Alligator mississippiensis: one gene and its partner. The protein of the gene in region 1 interacts with the protein of each later gene in a pairwise test. Links are inferred from orthologs where the notes say so. Each region holds a gene or a part of one and is shown in the gene's direction. Other genes may lie near its edges.

What was found. The genes of interacting proteins can lie anywhere in the genome.
Region 2: the proteins of PPP3CA (region 1) and AKAP5 interact in binary tests that used the Homo sapiens proteins (3 or more experiments, as listed by UniProt). The link is inferred for Alligator mississippiensis from reciprocal best matches to the Homo sapiens genes PPP3CA and AKAP5.

Annotation. Positions count from the first base shown.
Region 1 is NC_081825.1:162,268,855-162,279,818, reverse strand, and holds the start of PPP3CA (protein phosphatase 3 catalytic subunit alpha), read left to right. Parts: upstream 1-7,035; 5' UTR 7,036-7,127; coding exon 7,128-7,185; intron 7,186-10,964. UniProt on the Homo sapiens protein: Calcium-dependent, calmodulin-stimulated protein phosphatase which plays an essential role in the transduction of intracellular Ca(2+)-mediated signals. Many of the substrates contain a PxIxIT motif and/or a LxVP motif.
Region 2 is NC_081825.1:291,387,580-291,397,551, reverse strand, and holds the start of AKAP5 (A-kinase anchor protein 5), read left to right. Parts: upstream 1-5,908; 5' UTR 5,909-6,057; intron 6,058-6,908; 5' UTR 6,909-7,006; intron 7,007-8,083; 5' UTR 8,084-8,911; coding exon 8,912-9,972. Other genes in the region: MTHFD1 (C-1-tetrahydrofolate synthase, cytoplasmic), read left to right, coding at 615-704. UniProt on the Homo sapiens protein: Multivalent scaffold protein that anchors the cAMP-dependent protein kinase/PKA to cytoskeletal and/or organelle-associated proteins, targeting the signal carried by cAMP to specific intracellular effectors.

The DNA of each region.
Region 1 (10,964 bases):
AAAACTGAGTAATGGTAGTTGGTTTGTGGCAGTAAGTACAGCTTGGGGAGGCCTGAATTTTTCTTTTACTTCAGCCTTCCAAGCAGGACCCAAGGTACTCATGCAGAGAGCCCTCAACCGTGATTGCAGGTTATGGGCAGAATAGAGGATCCATACTGATACTCTCCACTATATAAAATTGTAATGCAAGAAATTGGTGTTGTGCATGAACTTACTAGCCACAGTACCTTCCTAAACTATTTCTTTTTTCTCTGTGTTCCAGCACAGAGACCTGCCACATACTACCTGCACTCAGAAGCACCAAGGCAGGTGTGAAGTTGATCTGTTCAGATTCTCTGTGTCACTCCATGTAAAATAAATGAGGTATGGGTACTGTTTTGGGAGTCTTATACATCTATGAAGGCCATTCTAGCATTTATACAACCAAAGAAGGACATAGCTTTGTTTGAACATTTTATAATGCTTAGTAACAACTTCCATTTTATTATATCATAATTGTGGTTATCCCTACAATTATGATTGCTTTTATTATGTGTATTTATGAGCTACCTTGGTAGCTGCAGCCCCAGATGGTTGCTGCTGGGTGTATTGAGGTGGGTGCGGTGCCACACCTCTCCCCTTTTTGCTCTAGTTGCATCTGGTTAGCCGAAGAACCACTGAGTAGGACCCCGGCCTCCCTGGTCAGATGGCTTGAGGCTTATCCCAGCCTCCAGGCTTTACTCCAGGCCCTAGGCACCCTGCCCTGGGTCTGTAACTGAAAACACAAAACAATAACAGTAAATAAAAAAGGTCGCACTTATCCTTGTGCTGGGTGCATCTAGCCTCTGGGGTCCATCCTCTAGGCTGTGATCCAAGTGCCTCAGTAGCCCTGTCCTGGGTGCAGGCAGGACACAGAGCATTGGCCCAGTGGGGAGGGCCCACCTAGAGACCACACCAACTACATACAGCCCTACCAGCATTCTGTCTTCCCCTCACTCCAGAGAGTGACCTGCGCAGGCACTCCTAGTTGCTTATAACCCCCTCTCTTGTGGGGGTGGGCCTTTCCACCCTGCCTGGGGGGCTGGGTTTCCAACTGCCTGCAGCTGGGGGAACTCCCCCTGCCAGGGCCATTCACCATGGCTGTGCTCATTGTGCTGGCTTCCAGCTGGCCAGTGCAGCCCCAGCACAGCTGCATCAGTTTCTGAGTTGGGGGGTGGGAAGCCATCCTGGGTCAAAGGTGGCTCAGACACACTCCTCCCCACAGTAATGGAGCTGAGCCCTGTTTTACCCTGAGCCCTGTATTACCGTAGTGCCCAGGAACCCAAGTTATGGACCATGACTCTGCTGTGATTGGTGCTGTTCAGCCACAGACAGCCACAAAGGCTGGATCCAGATGTGCAGGCAAATGCATTTCCCGAGTAACAAAGAGCCGTGGCACAATACATGCTGCTGCTTGTCCCTATGGAGTGACCATGCACACATACTTTGGCATGTGACACATTGCCCTGGGTGGGGTAGGGAAGGCTGGAACCAGCACCTGGGCTGGCCTTTTTTTGACACCAGATCTCCAGGTCTCAACCCCACCCCCTGCTGCAAATTAGCAGTACAGGGAATGTCTGCATGTGCATCACAGAACACAAGGCTGCAGCACCACATACAGCACATTTGCGCTCATCTGGATGCGCTCAGTTTAAGGTGCTAATCTGAAGTTAGTATCCTAAGCTAAAAGTCTGTGCTGTTTGTCATCTTTTTTGTTACTTTATTTCACTAACAGTCTATTTATAAATCCAGATTTTAATAATAAGCAACAAAATTATCCCCTAAAATATCCAACAAGTCGAAGAATAATAATTACTATTACAATGCTATCCTTAAAAACAAATAAAGGAAACAGGTGTAAAGAGCAGACAGACAAACCTTAGGTACTACTGTGTAGGAGGACATGATAGTGGGGCTGGTACTTATGAATGAAGGCTTGTCTATGCATGGGGTTATTCAGAAGCAACAATTACTGAATAATTTCTGTGTGGACTTCTATTCCAGAATAACTGCCTTGATTTTGTTTAGCATAAGGCACTTTCAAATGGCAAAAAGAGATGTCAAGGGTATAGAGGGAGACTTCTCATTTTAGAAAAGAAATGACTGAGGAAGGAAATGACAGAGATTTAACAAAATAAGTGCTGCAGAGAAAGTAGACAGAGATTTATAATTTACTCTCTCTAATACAATCCTAGAACTAGGAGACATAATATGAAAGTACCAAAGAGGTGTGGACAGACATAACACTTAAACTGGTTTAAATGCAGTTTAAAGTGCAAATGTGCAGACCTACAAGCCAGTTTACAGTGGTTTAAACCTCCTGAACCATTTCAAAAGCACTAAATAGCAGTTCTTTTGTTCTTATTTGTATTCTGGAATAACAGTATCAACACACAGGATTGTTTAGAAATAGGTGCTCCTGAATAATTCCATGCATAAATAGGTATTAAGTGTTTAATGTGGAACAAAATTTGGGAAAAACTAAATCACAGATTACTATAATTTATTCATTTCTAATTCAAGGCAAAGAGACATGGAGCAGAGCTTTCTTAATGGCCAGGAAGGTAAGCATTTGAAAGGAGACATGTACGCGGGTCACTCACCCAGGTTCCTAAGACAGGGGAGTCAGCTCTGACTCCAGGGTTTCAAACCAGCTTATTTTACATGGAGGAACCTTGTCTCCACAGTAAAATGAACAAACAGGTGAACAAGCTAGCAAACAAAAAACCTGCTGTCTTCCTTAAGATGTACAACCCTTGCTTTGCACTTCTTCCCAACAACTGAGCCAAGCCCCTTCTTAGGGTTTAACACTCTTTGCAACTCCTCCCTCATTAACTGGTATCAGATCCAACTGTTTCCCAGCCAGGCAGATTATTAGCTGCTGATCCCCTGCAGCTGGATTCTTACCCTTTGAGGAGCCAAACACCTGACAAGACTATATAAAATCAGCATGTATTTGCCACTCAGGCATATCAGAGCAACTTGAATCATGGATTGGGTCTTAAAAACAGGACTTCAAAATGTGTTTTCCCCAAGAAGCGGAAAGATCTCTTTCTCTCTGTCACAGAAAGGAGAAAAAATGTGTGTCACACTGACCAACAACTGTTCAGAAAGGGAAATAGCTTTTGAAGGACTAGGATATTATGTTTCTTTTCTTTGTACTTAAGAGAAGATACTCTTTAGTTTCATTCATTGGAAAAATCAATCAAGACACAAATTATGTAAACAGTATATTTTGTTTCACTACTAGTTTCACTTTATTTTTAATAAATGTTGTTCTTAAGAAAGTTACTGTTGTAGACAGCTTCATAAAGTTTGCTTCAAAAGGCTGCAAAACTATAGACCTCTAAGGAGAAATGGCCTGTGTATACAACAGTGTTTCAAAGCCTTCAGTGGCCCACAGGCCGCTATACTGAGGCAGTGATAAATTGTGGCAATGTCATCATGTATTCCTTTTGTCAATCTCAGTTTTAACTTTTCAATGTCCTATGTCTGCTAACAGTATTGGAGGGATGCATGGATAATAAGAGTTACCTGTGAGCTATGAGTTGGGCATGACTAGTCTGGGTTTACAACTCCAGGTTGTAAACTAAAGGTTTGTACAACTCCACCCACTCTGTGTGCACATACCCAAGATATCAATCAGAGGCAGGCATGAACAGGTGTCCTCTCCAACTGAGGTGTGTTGTCTAGGGCTGCGGTTATGTATACTCAAAGCAGCATCAAGATCAAGAAACAAGATCAGGCTGGAGTGTGTGACAGATAGTCCTAGGACTGGCTTCCAACCTATTAAAAAAAGACATAAGAATGAAAGTATTAATCATAGCACAGGAAGCATTCTTTCCCCATTTACTGAATGGACTGAGCCAGAATTATTGGCATCAACCATCTAATAACTTGCAGCAGGTGGTATCGGCTTGGCTGCCTACTTTGTTCTAACTCAAACAACTTGTAGGGAAGTGACAGTTTCAGGAGAGAACGGTGGCTCTGGTTCAAACACCAACCATCTTTGAGAAGGGGATTATTATTCCCAATATAGAACCAGTTAACCTGGATGACTGTAAAACAGGGAGGGTTTAAAACCTGCCAAAGAAATCTGTCTCAAATAAATACAAGTTCAACTGTCAGCTGTACTGTGCATGTGGCATTGCTGATCCACTTACAGAACTTCCCACATGCCTATTGATTGACCCTCAGTTGGGTGCACTTGGCCAGAATTTTGAGAAACAAATAATTATATACAAAGACAAGACATTTCAGTATTATTGTTCATCTCTTACCTCTCCTGCAGTCCTTTATCTCTATTTATTATCCTGTTTTATATACTTCACACCTAACAACAGGAAGAAAAAATCTGGTATAGCACAGACTCCCCCCAGAGGTGGTGCAAGCACCTACTCTAGATACTTTAAAAAACACTTGGATGCCTATCTTGCTGGGATCATTTGACCCTTGCTGACTTCCTGCCCTTTGGTCAGGGGGCTGGACCTGATGATCTTGCGAGGCCCCTTCCAGCCATGGTGTCTATCCAGCCCTAGTGTCTATAAAATCTATGAACACTAGGCATTTCTGTGCATTAGACTATTCAAGTGGCATATTCTTAGTAAGTACCTTAAGGGTGTCAGGTAACCTTAAGGTTACTTGATAATCAGAGGTTGTTTTTCTTAACAACCTCCCCCCACCCTCTAGCCCATTCTTCTTGCTCCAAAGCTAGTGAACTATTCTGACATTAAATTGTTCTGTAGCACAGAGTCATCTAAAATTAAAAGCCATTTTGTTTGATAAACTCTATGTGAATACATGGAATGACAGAAAACAAAATTCTTTCTTTCCCAGCATGTACTGCTTTGATGCTGCAAAGGGCTTGGTGCAGGTAGATGGATGAGTGCACTCAAGACAAAGATTCATGGACTTGAATGGTTCAGTAGTCCCGCTTTATGAAAAGCTCACTGTATGATCAAGATCTAAGGGCCAGATTTTCAAAAGAGCTCACCACCCAACAGCCAAATGTTGGGAGCTGAGTGCTTTTGAAAACCTAGCCATTTGCATAATAAGTGATATTTCAAGAAGAAAGGGGGAGGGGGGTATGTGCATAAGCATGTGTGCATGCATGCACAGACTTTGAAAATGATTTGTTGCATAAATTCATTTTTAATTAAGTCAAAGCAGTAACAGTACATTTGTACATTTTAGAACTACTGATACTCCAAAAACCAGAACAAAAATCTTATCGAGTCTGAAACTAATTTATCCCTAGAAACTGATAAAGCATTTTGCGTTTTCAGAGTTGCTTCCCCCTGGGTATTTATAATACAGATGAAGAGATCATCCAACACCCAATAAACTAGTTATTATTATCCCTTGTTTATGTATCCTATTGTGAAACCAAGGTAGAGGTTAGGCAACTTTCCTAAGGTCACTTAAGTCTGTGGCAGAGACTTGCTCAAAGGTCATCCATTCTTCCCAGTTGTTTTGTAGCAAGCACACTGTATACACTGCTATACAGAACAGGGAGGAAAGGTAAGATGGCACAGTATAAGGCTAACGTGCGCCTTCTGTCATAGGCTAGCTCAACACCCTGGCAGTTAGATCCTGCATGGAAGATAACCTCCTTTCCTGCTATAACATTGTGAGCACTCACTTCAAGAAATGCATCAGTTTTTAATGGTAGCTGTCATCCACCTATCTCCCTAATGCGAAAGCTCCCACCCTAGCCAACCAAGCACCCCCCCCCCTTCCTTCTTTCTATGCTTCTTCCTCAGCCCCATAGCAGAGCTGGGACCTGGACAGAGAGAGGCACTGAAGCAAAAGGAAAGCTAAGTGAAGGATGCCCCCAGCCCTGACACAAAAGGACTGCAGCAGTGCATGGGCGAACCTGTGAATGCCACTGCTTTTTTATTTGTTTGGTTGGTTGACATTTTGTGTCTCGGGCCAAATCGGTTCTGAATCCTGCGGGCTGAATCGTTCAAGTCTGCGTGACGCGACCGCCCGCAAGTATCCTCCGTACCAACCCCCTGGCAGGCGCCCTACGTGCCAGAGCCCTTGGAGTCCCGGTGCCCCCTGGGCTCAGGTGCCCGTACCCAGAAGGCGGAAGGAGCCAGCCAGAGGGGAAGCCAGACAGCAACCCCCACGGCCGCACAGCCGAGATCCTGGCATTGGGAGGCGCTGGCAGGGGTGCCTACCCGCGCCGAGCCGCTCAAGGCGGAGAAGGCGGGGATCTCCCCTGCCAGGTGAGGGAAACCACCTCCCGCTGCATCCCCCCCCCCGCAGGCGTGTGCGCCGCTACTGCTGCAAGGGGCCCTCACGCAGGCGCAATCGCCCCGGAGCTTTTCCTGTTGTGCAGCAGCGGAGCAGGGAGTGAAAAGCGGCGGCCGGCCCCGCCGCTCGCGACACGCGCCGTCCCCTGCCGCTGCGGCGGCCTGGGCTCGGCCAAGGAGGGGGTCGGGGTGGGACACACCCCACTACAGCCACTGCCTGCTGACTCGGCGTCTGCGGCCCCACACCTCCCTCCTTAGCCCCCGCCCCGCGCTTCCCCGCTGCGGCTCAACCAAGCGCGCAAGGAGCCCGGAGCAGCCCCACCTCCCGCTCCGGCCGCGCGCAGCGGGAACACCTGGGGGGGAGGGGGGGCGCGAGATACCTGACAGTGATTGGCAGCTCTTCCGCAGCCAATGGGTGCGAGGCGGAGAGGCGGGGCGCGGGAGGGTAGGTTGCGCCTCGGCCTGGGCCGCACCGGGGTTGTGTGTGAGCGCAGGGAGTGGGAGGTGCCGAGGGCAGTGGCGGCGACGCTGCACCCGCACCCGGGTTCTTAAATCTCCTTCTTCACCCTCGCCCCCCTGGGTATTGTGTTTTGCACCCGCCCTGTGCAGCCCCCGCGCGGCGCGTGAAGTCAGCCCGCCCGCCCGGAGCAGGGGGCGGAGGCAGCGCAGGGAGCCCCGCCAGCCCAGCCCAGCCCAGCTCCGCCAGCAGCGGCAGCAGGCGAGCGGCCGCAACTTTCCCCGCCGCCCCGCGCCGGAGACGCCGAGGGCTCCTTGCTGCGGCAGCCGCTGCCGCCCCGCCCCGCACCGCTCGGCGAGGGAGGCCCCGCGCCCCTCGCGCCGCGCCCGCCGGAGATGTCTGAGCACAAGGCGATTGACCCCAAGTTATCCACGACGGACCGGGTGGTGAAAGGTGAGCGCCGCCGCCGCCGCCGCGCTCCTTCCGCATCCTCCGCTGGCCTCCCGCGCCGGGGCCGCTGACAGGAGCGGGGCGAGTCCGGGGGATCCCGGCCCTGGGCTGGCGGGGGGCCTGCTCCACTGCAGCATCGCCCGCCCCCCAAGTGACTGCACGCCCGGCACTCGCCCTCCCCCACTCCCTCCCCCACGCAGCCCGCCGGCCCCCGGCTGCTCCCGCTCCTCGCCCGCGCGAGCTATCTGCCCGCAGAGGCCCCAATCCCGGCTGGCGGCGCTGGCGCTCGTGGGCTGCGGGGGCGTTGCGCTCCGGCTGGCGGGGGGAGGCGGGAGGCACCCGCGAGCGATCCTGCGTGGTCGGCTTCTCCCCTTGGGGGAGGGGGGAGGCGCCACGGCTCTCGGGGGGTGGGGGGGAGCCTCGCCCGCCTCCCGGCCAGCGCTGGTGCAGGGGCGAGGGACCCGCGCAGCGGCCGCCCAGGCAGGAGCCGCATGAATTTCCGTGCGGGGGTGGATGCGGGGAGGGAGGGGGCACGGCTGGAGAAGATGGCATATTTCTCCAAGATAAGCCTCTTGGTGCTTGGGAGATGGAAATACGGATATATGCTGCTGCCTGTTGGCACAGCAAAAGGCAATAAAAAACCCCCCAAAAACAATCCCTCCCCCCACCCACCCCATCCCCGTTTGTTTTTTTCTTTTTTCTTCCTTTCTGATTTGGCTCGGCTGGATGTGAAGTTATCCAGCAGACATGCTCCGGCCACACATCCATGTATGTGCGCGCGCGCAATCCTGGTGTCTGGGTGTTCCCCGCAAACGTGCCTCCTTCTCTCTGGTTTTTATCTTCTTTCGAAGCGAACCGTAGGGTGAGCTGGACAGCTCGTAGGTCATTCAGGTCTTGAAAGCCACCCTTTGGGTTTGAGTAGCCAGACCGTGCACTGCCATAAAGAATTGATCCTCTTAGGGAAAGGTCATGTGTGATTAAATCCCATGCACCGGCTGCTTTAATATATGCACGGTGCATATATTTCCTCTGTGTTCTATATATTGTTTAGCATGCATAGGTACAGTACATCATACTTAGTTTAGGAGATAAGTCTGCATCTGTATCTAGGTTTTCAGGTGAAAATGCAAATCCCTCAGTGTTTAAGTCCAGGAGATTTAGAGGGGATTGTCTGTGTTACGTAGAGTCTTGCGAGCATAGACTAAAACCAAACACCAAACAAATAACAAATTTGATATTTTAATGTTTTCTGTGCATTCTCTTTAATTCCTAATGGAATTTCGGATCTGGGGAGGCTTTAGGAAAATTAGTTGCCTGCACCATAGTAGCATTAAAAACAGTTTCAATGTGCCCTGTCTTGTGAAACCCGAAATATTTATGGCATGGTTGAGAGGATGATACATTGTATTAGTGTCCTAAGACACGCTAAGACTAAGCTTTAAAGGTGGGTTATGTGGTTGTCCTTGGCTGATGCGTTATCTAAAGACATGGGCATCACAGACACTTCTTATATCTTGATGTAACCATTTAGCAAATACTGTCACGTAAGAATTAGACAAAGATTTCTTAAATTTTGTGTCTAATTTGGTAAACATGGGACCAAATCTTATGGTCTTTCCGCAAGAAAAAAATTGATTTTCTTGGGTGTGCTACTGGAGTAAGAACTACTATGACATTGATATTTTTTTTTTTTAATTAAAAACAAAGCAAATAAATATCACTGTTCTGAATGCAGGTACATATAAAATTGCACCCACAGTGAACTGAGTTATTGTCTCTAATGATTCAGATGTTTACAGGTTAGAATCAGAAACTTGCCAGCAAGAGAAATCTATGACTTTTGGCAGTAATGGCTCTTCATTTTTTTTTAAATACTTCCATTCAAGTAAATACATAGGTTCCAAACTTTCCAGAAAGATTATTTTAAAAAAATATGAACACACACACACACACACACACACACACACACACACACACACACACACACACACACACACAAATTATAATTTTGTGGATTTTATACACTCAGTGAACAGTCTGTCCACCAAACATTTAACTCTGTTCTTTTTATAAAGTATTCATTAAAAGAAGGAAGACTACTTAACAAAAGTTTCTTAGGTATTTATTAATTTATCTGACTATAGTTATTACATGTCAACATTTTAAAGAGTATTTGGATGCATTTAACTAGTTCATTGTTTTTATTAAACATGAAATCCTGTTAAATGCTTAAATAGAGAATCTGGAGCGGTAATACACAAGAAACTCATTGTTAATAGGATTATTCTTACACTGTCATATTTCAATGAAGGCAACTTAAAATAAATGTTGTTTTTTTTCACTGTTTAGAAACATAAATGAAGAAAAAGAAATTAAGGCAGCTTTGCTTGACTTGTAAAAGCAAATTGCCTAAGACTCCTATCCTTCATCTAGAGCTGCAGAATCCCAGGTCTTGTGTTACAACTTTGACTATTAAATGGTCTTTTCCATAGTATTTACTTCTTGGTCCGTGGGCCAGATCTGGCATGTAGAATGATGTCATCTGGCCCATGGGGCTCCTATGGGTCTTGATATTTGGCGTGGGAGTGCGGTGGCCCCGTCTGGACTAGCCCTATGTGGAGGGACGAGGCCCTAGCCAGGTGAGTCCCATGCAGCCAGATGGTACCCTCTCTGGGCTGTTCTCACACAGCTGGATCAGAGCTGGCCCCACATGGCTAGAACAGGTCCTGGCCCAGGCCGGCCTCATGCAGATGGATTGGGCCCTGTCTGGGCTGTTCCCCCCATGGTTGGATTAAGCACCCCATTGGCCAGGGATTGACCACCACCAGGACCAGCTGCTGGATCGGGCCCAGAGACCAGATCTGGCCCACAGACTGACTTGCCACCATGCATCTGGTCCACAGGGTGAAAAGGTTGGGCACCACTTGTCTTTTTCATAGATCATCAATCATCTATATCTTCTTGAAATGAACAGCTAAATAGCCCCAGAAATAGTAACAGAAATCTTTGCATTTTATTACTAAACACAGATGTAGATAATCAGCACTCCTTGGTATTTGACAAAAAACCTCTTAAACTTGTTTACTAGTATAAAGTGAGATATTTCTGAAGATTTAAAAAAAAAAAAAGTCATAAGCAATTTTTATCTGGGGAAGAAGTATTTTTAGCTCATGCATGTAGGTTTTATATTTCATTATTTCATATAGCTGCACAAAGAATAGTTACTTTATCAATCCGGCTCTTAAAATTTATTGACTGTGAAGCTAGTTAAATGTTTTAGTTTTCAAAGATCGCAATTAGATAACACACGACAAGAGATGTCCTATTATAACAAGCATGTCAGGCGTTCTGTGTAAATCCTAGGTAGGCACTGTTACATAACTCTTAGTGGTGGACTTGATGAGGTGAGAATTCTAGCAGTATCACACAGATTGGCCTATTATGGACACCTGTTGGAAAGGTTGTTGGTTTTTGTTTTTGTTTTTAATTATATATTGTTGATTTTAAACACTCTGCTAGGGAGTTATTGGAAGGTGAAAAAGGACTTCAGTTACTTCATGTTCTGCCAGTTGTATGGTGTTTTCAAGACTGTATTCAATTGATTTGATTATATGGCATTTATGCACAATGGTACCCGAGCAGCAGATTTGTTTTCAAGACTTAATAAAATGTTAATTTTTGTGAACTCTGGGAAAAGAGAATCCCATATATTGGTCTGAAGAGTGATATTGTACTTGTCTAGTGAAGCAGTGTTTTTTCCATTTACCTAAATTTCTCTTTAA
Region 2 (9,972 bases), about 130 Mb from region 1:
GTCACAGAAACCTTTCATATTACTTCTTTTGTCACAAAACCCCTACCCCAGCCAGGGGACTCAGCCCAGCAATGGCAGCAGACTGCTTCCTGGCGCACTCCCCCATTTCCCCTCGTCTCTTTGGGGAACCCCTGATGACCTGTCATGGGACCCCAGGGTTCTGCAGAGCATGGTGTGAAAACCACTGCCCTAGCATATTAGTAAAGCTTCTAATTTCTCTTTAACTGGAGAAAAAATGTGTCATGTTATATGTGATGATGCACCTCACCACACCACACCATACCACCTGCACCCTCCTTTTCAAAATCCCAGATCCTCCCATGTGCACAGTCCATCAAAATCCTAGTAAGTGAAACCAGAGGAACTGCTACAAGTGGTTATTGCCTCAGCCTAGTAGAGCATATAAGCTCATAGTAATTTTAAGCTTGCAGGCTGTTCCCTGAGTAGCAGAACTATACACAAGTATAAGCATAAACCTATGCTTAAGTGCATTATATGAGGCCACTGAGTCGGTGCCAGAGCCGGGAATAGGACAAGGCCCCTCTAACTCCTGGTCCCAATTCCATCCACTAAATCCTGCTTATTGCTTTAATATAGCTGTCTTTGTCTCTTAGATGAGTACTATGCCAGGCCTTCCAACTCGACCCTGCTTCTATGATATCGACTTGGACCCAGTGACAGAAGAGGTGAATGGGCTCTTCTAAAAAATGTTGCCAACCAGAGGTAAATGTCTTCCTTAGGCTAGTTTGCAAATGTTTGAGTTTTATTTTTAAAGCCTGAGCTAATGTAGTTACACTCATCTGAGCATAAGGCTACATGTTTTTATTTGATTATAATTCAGACTAAAAGTTTCCTGCAGTACTATAATTTAGTAATTAGATTTATTTTTCTTCCTAGCTACCCGAAGACTACCTGATGAGTAATGTAAACTGAACTGTGCCCTGACTTAAGCCAAAATAAGATACGACTGAGGATGCAAGATGTGAAGTGAATGGGATAAGAAGCATTTGGGAATGACTGGAATATATATGTTTGTTAAAATTTGCAGTAATTTTTTTAAAGTCTTATTCCAAGCTAATCTTTTAGTTCAGTGAAGAACCTGCAGTAAGTTTTACACACTGATATTTTTAAATATTTCCTTATTGAATACGAACATTTTGCTTCATACTTGTAGCCAAACCACCTGGTTTTAACCCTCCCTTTCTATCACTGATCTTAATAAGATGATTTTAATATATTAAAACATAAAAATGGAGTTTCCTGACTTGTCCAATGTTTGCGACAGCCTGGGGCTTAAGTTGTTTTCAGTATATTTTTAGACCATGGGTAGACATTGTCCTTTAAAGGCTGGACAGTCTTTCTACCTACTCAATTCTCGAATCCACTGCTAGCATTCAAGGAGAGGATGTTGTAACATGAGACTGCACCAGTATCAGTCACAGGTACGTAGCGAAGAAGAATTCCTTCGTTTCTCCACTTCCCAAAAGCTTTTGGTTTCTGGTGTATTTTGTCCTTATCAACACGTAAACCATATCAGATCTCCCGATTAGAAATCCCTGCTGTGATCAGCATCTGTGCCATTTATATATTGTGCTGTGCACAAAACACAGGACATCACCTTTTTGCAGACTGGCTCTCCATTCAGTGGCTGTGGCTGAAGAAGAGAATATGCCATACATGGTTTTCTGACTTAGATGGATGAGTTTTCTTACACTGTTTCTAACCCTTGCTTCTTGAAATATCTTTTTTTTGGGTGAACAGAGACAGCACAAGCACTGAGTCAAATTGTTTGCAGTGGGGTTTGTCAGAGTAGTCCAAAAAAATTCTCATAATGGGAAAACTAAGTTGTTGCCAGACTTGTAATTAATACAAATGAATGGCTAAATCCTTTCAGAGTACCCTGGGCTTTAATATATGCATTGCGTTTAATGAAGCTGAACTTTATTTTTATGGTCAGTTTGGGGATTGTACACAGCAGCAGTTTCCAGTATTGACAGGTAAAAGTGATTATTGCAGTAATACTGTTGAGCCTCCAGTGCACCAGTATATTTAGGTTTAATCTCACATCCCTTCCTGGATACTGCATGTCATGTGTAGGAAAATAAACTGCCTAAATTTTATTCAGTGGATTTTGATATGCTTACCATTGACTGCAAGAGATCTGAAGTGAAACCACCAGTTCTGCTAATCCAGCAATTGAAGAGAAAATCTTACCCATGCAAGCAGCTAAATATCTATGAATAATCCTTTCCACATCAGACTGCAAGGCCCATTGCTTGTATCTGAGCCTAAGAACATATTAAAGAATTGCAGTGACTGGGAGAAGCATTGATGTAGGAGTGTGCATCAGCATATGGGCTCAGCTGTAATACATGCACACTATATATAGCAAGCTATCAGAATAATTATGTAACAATTACGGGGCTGTCACAGGAGTGAAGTTACAATAACTTAAGTTGTCATAAGATTCCTAAAAGGCATTTTTAGGCTTGTTTAAAATTTTCTTTTATATAATATTCAAAGCAAAGCAGGTATTTGCAATCAGATTTTCAGGGTCTGAACGGACTGTTGGCATGGGGTCAGGAATTGCTTTTCCCCATGTGTAGTGCATAGCTAGGTACATGAGGAGCTCCTTCAACTAAGGCATCCTGTGCTGGCTGCTTCTTGGAGGCAAGCTGGCCAGCCTGCAGGTGCCAGTTTCTTCATTCAATCTTCCTCTCTCGTCTCGTTGTTGCTTTTCCTGCTGCATCCCCCTCTTCCGAACAGCCCATCTCATTCCTTCAACCTGCCTTTTTTCTTTCCTGGTCACCTTTTCACGTTCTTTAATATGACGCTCTTAAACATTAGAAAGCAGCTTGTCCTCTCCCTTTCTGCAAGGACTATTTCAGTTGACATCTCGTTAATCCAGTGATTAATCATAGAAATACAGGGCTGAAGGGGACCTCACAAGGTCATCTAATCCATCTTCCTGCTCTGAGGCAGGTAATTATACCCAGACCCTCCCTGAAAGATGCTCATCTAACCTGTTTTATAAAAACCTCCACAGATGGGCTTTTCCCATTCTTTCTTGACTGCCTGTTCCAGGGCTTAACCATCCTTAGAGTTCAATTTTATGGATATCATAATTTTTTTTTTGCACAAAACAAGCTAATTGCCTCTTTTCTGAACTTCAGTGGGCATTCACTAATTGCTGTTTTGTTTTTTTTTTTATAAACCTGACCCCAGTTGTCTTTCCTGCCTAGTGCTGTGAGGCTGGACACAATGATCTTGCGAGGTCCCTTCCAGCCCCTAACAATCTATGGATCCATGAACACTTTACATACTGGATAAATCTTCAAGTCTCCCTCCCTGCCCCCCTCCATTCCTTCTGCTTTTGTCTAGAGCGATCAAATCCAAATGATGTAAGACTTCCTTGTGCCTTTACAGACCTGGAAAACTGTGTGTGTCATGGAAAGAACATCCCCATGGTTACCCAAGATGGTGGCATTTCTGCTAAGTTCCATCCGTGACATAATGTGGGATGTTAACCTAATTCTGCTGGTTTGGGGCCAGCCGTGGGCATTAAGATAGGGAGAGTACACGCTATATGTGCCTCTTCCCATGTTGCCCATGCCACATTCGCTGCCGGAGTAAGACAAATATTAGAAGAACGCAAGCATTGTATCTCAAAAATCTGCTTTCAAGCAAAAAAGCTTGTCCTCGGTCTAGCTGGAATCCCTGCCTATTCGCATAGCCTTAGCACCTCTGTCAGATAATTCTTCTGCATGATCAGCTTATTCTGAAACTCCATAAAAGCTGAGTTCTGAGCAATTTATCTACCCAACTGTGTTCCAAATGCAAGGTATTTAAGCTGATGTAATGAGGGACCTAAATCTGTATCATCCACCTTGAGGTGAAGTACTTGAATTTGTGATTCACATTCTCTTTTTGGCAGTGTGGTTAAGGCATCTTGCTGCAACTCCAGTCTCATGCTAATCTGCCCCCACCTGATTCAACTGCGAATAGATATTTTACCACTTGGTCTAAGGAGTCAAATGTGATCAGATATGATGCTAGTCGCATGATGCTGGCACATGTGTTTGACTTGATGCTGTTTGTTAGCTTCCTTGTCTTTGCCTTTTAAGGTAGAGGGAAAAACTGCCTACGCCCTGACAAGCTTCATCATGATCTTCTATTCTTTGTAGCTCCTGATAGGAACAACTCACCTAGGAGAGGCATGGGTCGTCGCTGGATAAGGAAAAGTTGGCAGAAACACATCTGTCATAAGAGTTACCATCAGTGTTGTTATGCATCCATCATAATGAAGGATGTTGGTGCCAGTCAGGCCACCTGGCATTTGCACAGGTAACTGCCAGCTTATGCACCGCAAATTCCTTTTTGTCACAAAATTCAGTGCCACCCAGTGTGAGCCGGGCTGCCGTTGCTGCTGTTGTGAACGCAGCCTTTGGCTTGTGTGCTGTTCCTGCTTAAGAGCATGCCCTCCGTGTTTAAACAGGCTTATGTCTTCCCTTACTGTGGCACTTCATTGCTTATTACAGCCAAGAGCTCAAAGGAGCTAGTCAATGGGTTGCACTCAGTGAAGTGAACCTTTATGCAGTCCGTGAAGCACTTTTGTAGGCAACCATGCTTTCTCTTCCCATCCTTCAAGTTCCTCATCTACAAGGTTGTCATCCATCTGAGCTTTGTGTCCAAGCCGTCATAGCTGACACTTTGGTGGACATGCCCCTAACACGCTCCAGGACTTTGTTACTGGTTGGCTTGCACCACCTGTATAACGTCCAAGTCGTATGCCCAGTGAGCACAGCTATATAGCTAAGTAACACACCTTTTAAGAAAGGGAGCAATAGGATGACACTGCTAAGTTAAATATGCCATATATTTCTGTACGGGAGAAAATACTGGCTGCAAAAGTACGTGCATTTCCAAAAAAAATGCCTAAAGGGTAAGTACTTTCTTTGTGCTTGCTTCACGTAGATCTCCCTTGTGCCGGTCTGCACTCTGGACTGGGTACGGTTCGGTGCTTGCCTGTAGCGGCTGAAGGCAGACTGGGAAGGGCAGGGGGAAGATGGTGCTCTGAGCTTCATGCACAGCGCTCCCTTGTGCAGATGTTCAACATATTGTATGTACACTGCTCCCTCCATTTGCAGGTGCTAAGAGGCAGTAAATTGTGAGTTCTTGTTAGTGAATGGGGAAGTTCAGGTCCCTCTGGATGCTACACTTGGCATGTTTTCCTGTTTATCTCAGTTATCGGCACCTTGAAACTTTTGTTTTAACTGAAGCGTAGAGGCCGGGGTGTAGATTCATAGATGCCAGGGTCGGAAGGGACCTCAATAGATCATCGAGTCCGACCCCTCGCACAGGCAGGAAAGAGTGCTGGGTCTAGATGACCCCAGCTAGGTGTAAGAGGGTAGCATGAAGAAAAAAACCGTGCTAGCGCGTTGTTCTGGGAACTACTAGCTCAACCCGAGACCCGGCCAGGGTGCGTCTTTCTCACCTATAAGGGCATTTTCTATAAAAATAGAAAAACTGGATTTTTTTTTAGCTGAAACCTTTGCAAAATGGAAATGGCTCTCCTGGCAGGAGAGCGTCTGGTGCAAAATTCCCGAGGCAGAAAACCTGCCAGCTCCCGATAGGAAAAGGAGAGCAGCCTCTCCCTCCCTGGGGTGCTTTTGTCATCCGCAAACAGCCCTGCCTTTTAGCACATCTCCAAGTGACAACTGCAGCTTGCTGTGGCGGGAGCAGCCTGGGGCTCGGGGCTCGCGGCAGCGCTGCCACAGCCCCGGGGCCGCTGCATCCCCGAGGGCCAGGGACCGTGTCCCCCCGGGTTGAAGCCAAGCCCCCGCCCGCCCGCCGTGCTGAAGCGCTGCAGCGCGCGGGGCGCACAGACGTGCCCGCACGTGGCCGGGCAGGGGCAGGGCGGCTCCCGCCGCGGGGCGCGGGGAGGAGCCGAGCCCGGACCACCCACCCCGGGGCCGGGGGAGGCGGGGCGGAGCGGAGCGGGCGCGCCCGCCGCGCAGCATCACCCGCACCTGCCGCGGAGCCGGAGCCGGAGCCAAGGTGGGTGCGGGCCCCCGAGCCTGGGAAACGTCCCCCTCCCTCGGCCCCGCGAGCCTCCAGCCCTGCCTGGAAATCCGACATCCTCCCCGTGCCCCGCGCTCTGCACGGACCCGGGGGGATCGGGGCCCAAAGGCACGAAGTGCGCCCTGCGGGGGCGAGGCGAGGCGAGGCGCTGCCCGGCGGAGGCAAGGGCGCGCCTGCCCTGTTGCCAAGCAGGCTCCGGGCATCCTCGCCGGGAGGAGGAGGAGGAGGAGGGGAGTGAGCTGCCTCTCTTCTGCACTGGCAGGCCGCATCTGGGGTCCAGTTTTGCACCCCCCATACAGAAAGGATGTGGACAAGTTGGAGAGAGTGCAGTGGAGGGCGAGGAAAATGCTGGGGGACGGACTGATAAAGGAGAGGCTGGAGGAACTGGGCTGATTTAGTCCGGAGAGGAGAAAGCCGGGGGGATTTAATCGAAGCTGCAGGGGGGCTGCGCAGAGGAGGGAGCTGGGCTGTTCTCAGGGGTGACAGACAGAACGAGGAGCGATGGGTTCAAGTTGCAGCAAGGGCAGGTTAGGTTGGATATTAGGAAAAACTTTCTCACGTGGAGGGTGGTGAAACACTGGGACAGGTTGCTCAGACAGGTGATGGAAGCTCGGTTCTTGGAGGTTTTTAAGACTCGGCTGGACACAGCCCTGGGCGGGATGACGTAGTTGGGGATGGTCCTGCTTTGAGCAGGGGGTTGGACTAGATGCGACCTCCTGAGGTCCCTTCCGACCCTCATTTTCTATGATTCATCTAGAAAAGGGTGTATGGGGTCAAGCCCAGAGCTAGCCGTGCACCGAGCACCTTGTCCTTCTCCTTCCCTGCAGTTCCAGACGCCACTGGCCTGAAGACGGCCGGTAGTCAGCACCCGCTCGCCTGACGTTCAAGGGATGAATGGCCACACACGCAGAGGAGCACGCAAGAGGTCAGGGCATCCAGATGTGATTTTTTGTGCTGTTTAATTGGGGGTGGTGTTGTTAGCATGAGGTGAAGGGTGTATCGGAGTGATCCCAGAGTGTGTTGGTGTTATAAAAGAAAAGAACAATAAATAAATGAAAAGAAAAAGAGACTGAGAAGACGCCTAATCTTATACATTCTCTAGGATTTTTCTTCTCTTTATCTTTCCAATCAGAGGCACAGTAATGCCAAAAGAAAGGAAAAAATGATGATGATTATGATGAAACACTTTCCTAAATCTATTTTTTTAAGCTAGGTTCTCACTCTGTTACAGATTTCATGTATTTTATCATAGGTACGGACTCCAGAGCACAGAGCTTTGAGTCAAGTTTTAGCAAGCAAATCGTGACATTAATTATCAAAAAAAATATTCATAATAAAATATCACTTCAGAGTAGATCACATTCCTGCAGCCACTCTGGATAACACTATATGACTGCTGAATATAACAATTCAATTTAGCTTTTTAAAACTACTAAGAATATGTGCATTTTTAAAAGGAATTCAAGACGTACGTAAAAGAAAATATTCCTCAAGCACTTCTCAAAGTATCCAGTAAGGGAGTATCCCATGTACAAAAATGTGTCCTTTCCCTGTTAGATACATTTGTTTGTTCATAATGTTCTGGTGATGGCAGCATTTCTTTAAAAAGATTACATGCATTTTATGATGAATGCATGCACTGTGTGAGTAAGGTTGCCATGGAAGACATGCAAGCACTATAAATGAGTGCCTCATACAGTTTGGGTTATGTTTGGATTTCGCAAGCCTCCTTTTTATATTTCATATCGCTGCACATCATCATCCTGTGCATGAAGGATAAAAATATAAGATGTCTCAAGCTTATAATTTCCCTTGAGGGAATTGTGAGCTCATGTAGGGGAGATGTAGAAAATGTTTAGGAAATCATTGGAAAATGGAAAAGAAAGGTATTTTCTCTGATGATGTGGGGGAAAAGTAAATTCCCCTTCATTCTATATAAAATTCATATCTTATGCTTTAATGTATCTAATGTGGCACGTTAGTGACCTTATTTTGCCTTCAGATGCTGATTCCAAGAAGAGTTGCAGTTGTCCGCCTGAGGATAGACTTACAGCCTAACCCTGCTGCCCACCCCCATGGATCGGGATGCACACGGGATTTTAGAAGCAAAATGCACAAATCTGAAAAAAATATGTATTTTCATTCTTAGCACCTAAATGTTTTTCATCGCTTTGCTTTGTTGCAGACGCCCATGTAGCACTCGGAAAGATGAAAGACTACGCCATACTTTTCCGCATGCGTGGCATAACTTGTCACATGAACTGAAGTAAAACCTAAATGAGAAAAGACAGAATAACAGCTGACCTTCTCATTGGAGACAAAATAAGGCCACTTGCTGTATTTTGTTTTACTATCACTTCAGACAGTGTTCTCGTGAATGTATTAGAAAGTGGAAGTTGTTTTCTGTTGCCTGTCATCAATAGAAAATGTTTAATGGATGTTAGATCAAGAATTGAAAATCAAACCATTGGATTATTGATCAAATAATACCAGCACCACATCGAGTAGTGTTGCAGGTTGATTATCCTAAAGGGGAGGCTGAGTCTGGTCAGTTAAAGAAAGGAAAGCATGTTCTTAAAATGTAAATATTAAGTCTTTCTGAGGAAGGATAAGAAAGCAAGTAATAAAACCAAATGAAAATAGAAAACTAACATGTGGACCCCATCAAAACATCCCTTTGTATAGTGTCCTATCAGTAAATTAAAGCAATTAAATGTTCTTTAGAAATAACTTCTAAGAAACATCCTTTGAGCTTCTTTGAAGTTCATTCATCTGAAGGGCTAATAGAGAAAAATTATTGTGTAAAAAATAAGAAAAAGGGGCTACAAGTATGGAGAAGGCAGCTAAGGATATTCAAACGGAAAACACAGCAGAGTCAGAAATGCAGAGTGCAGCAAAACTGTGCCGTCCAGCTGAAGAAGAGGCAGAAAAACCCTCCATGTTTTGTTTTAAGAAAAGAAAAAAGTCAGGCAAGAAGGCTTCAGACGTGAAGGGTACCTGCGAAGAAGAGTCTGCAAACTTGAATCAAACCAGCCAGTGCAGTGCGGACCACAGAGAAGGGAAAGCTTCAAATCCATCTCAGTCACCAAAAGGAGCCTGGGCAGCTATAAAATGTTTTGTGAGACCAAGGAGAAAGTTAAAGTCTTCTTCCAGGAAACACGTACCTTCCGACTCTCAAGTCCAGCTGGAGACCAGTACAGAGGAGGCTGGCTTGCAGAGTTTGCCCAAGAAAGAGGTTCGTTCTGGTCTGAAAATACCATGCATAAGATTTTCAGGTGGCAAGAGAAAACCCAGCCAGTGTGAAATGATAGAGGAATCGGACGACAGTATTAAGGGAAATGAAGCAATGGGCATTTTGAATAAAGCTACCAGTGAACCCGAGGATTTGGCAACTGCAGTTAAATCTAGCCCTGATCGATCCTTTGGCCAGTCTGCTGCAAAGAAAGACAGTGACAGTACGGCTGAAAAAAGTGACAGTTCTGCTGGGGAGAACGAGCTTTTGCGAGAACCCGGGCCAGACACCGATCAACACACAGCATGTCCTGTCCAGTCAGAAACAATGAATTTAGAGACAGTTGCTGTAATAGTCCAGGAAAAACAGTGTCCGAGGAGCCAACCAGAAACAGCAGTGCATACAGTAACCAAGCAGGATGATGGCAACACTGCGTTTGGTGCTGAGCCGCCTGAGGACCTACCAGAGCATGTACCTAGAGTCACCGAGGTACAAGGTAGAAACGCCATGCCTGAGAAGCAGCCTGGACTGGATGAGTTTGGAAGCAGCATAAGCGTTAGTGAGGACTGTAAATCCAAAGAGACGATAATGGGTTCCAGTCAGTCAGCATTTAGAGATGAGGCAGCAAATGTACAGAGCTGTTCAAACGAACAATTTAA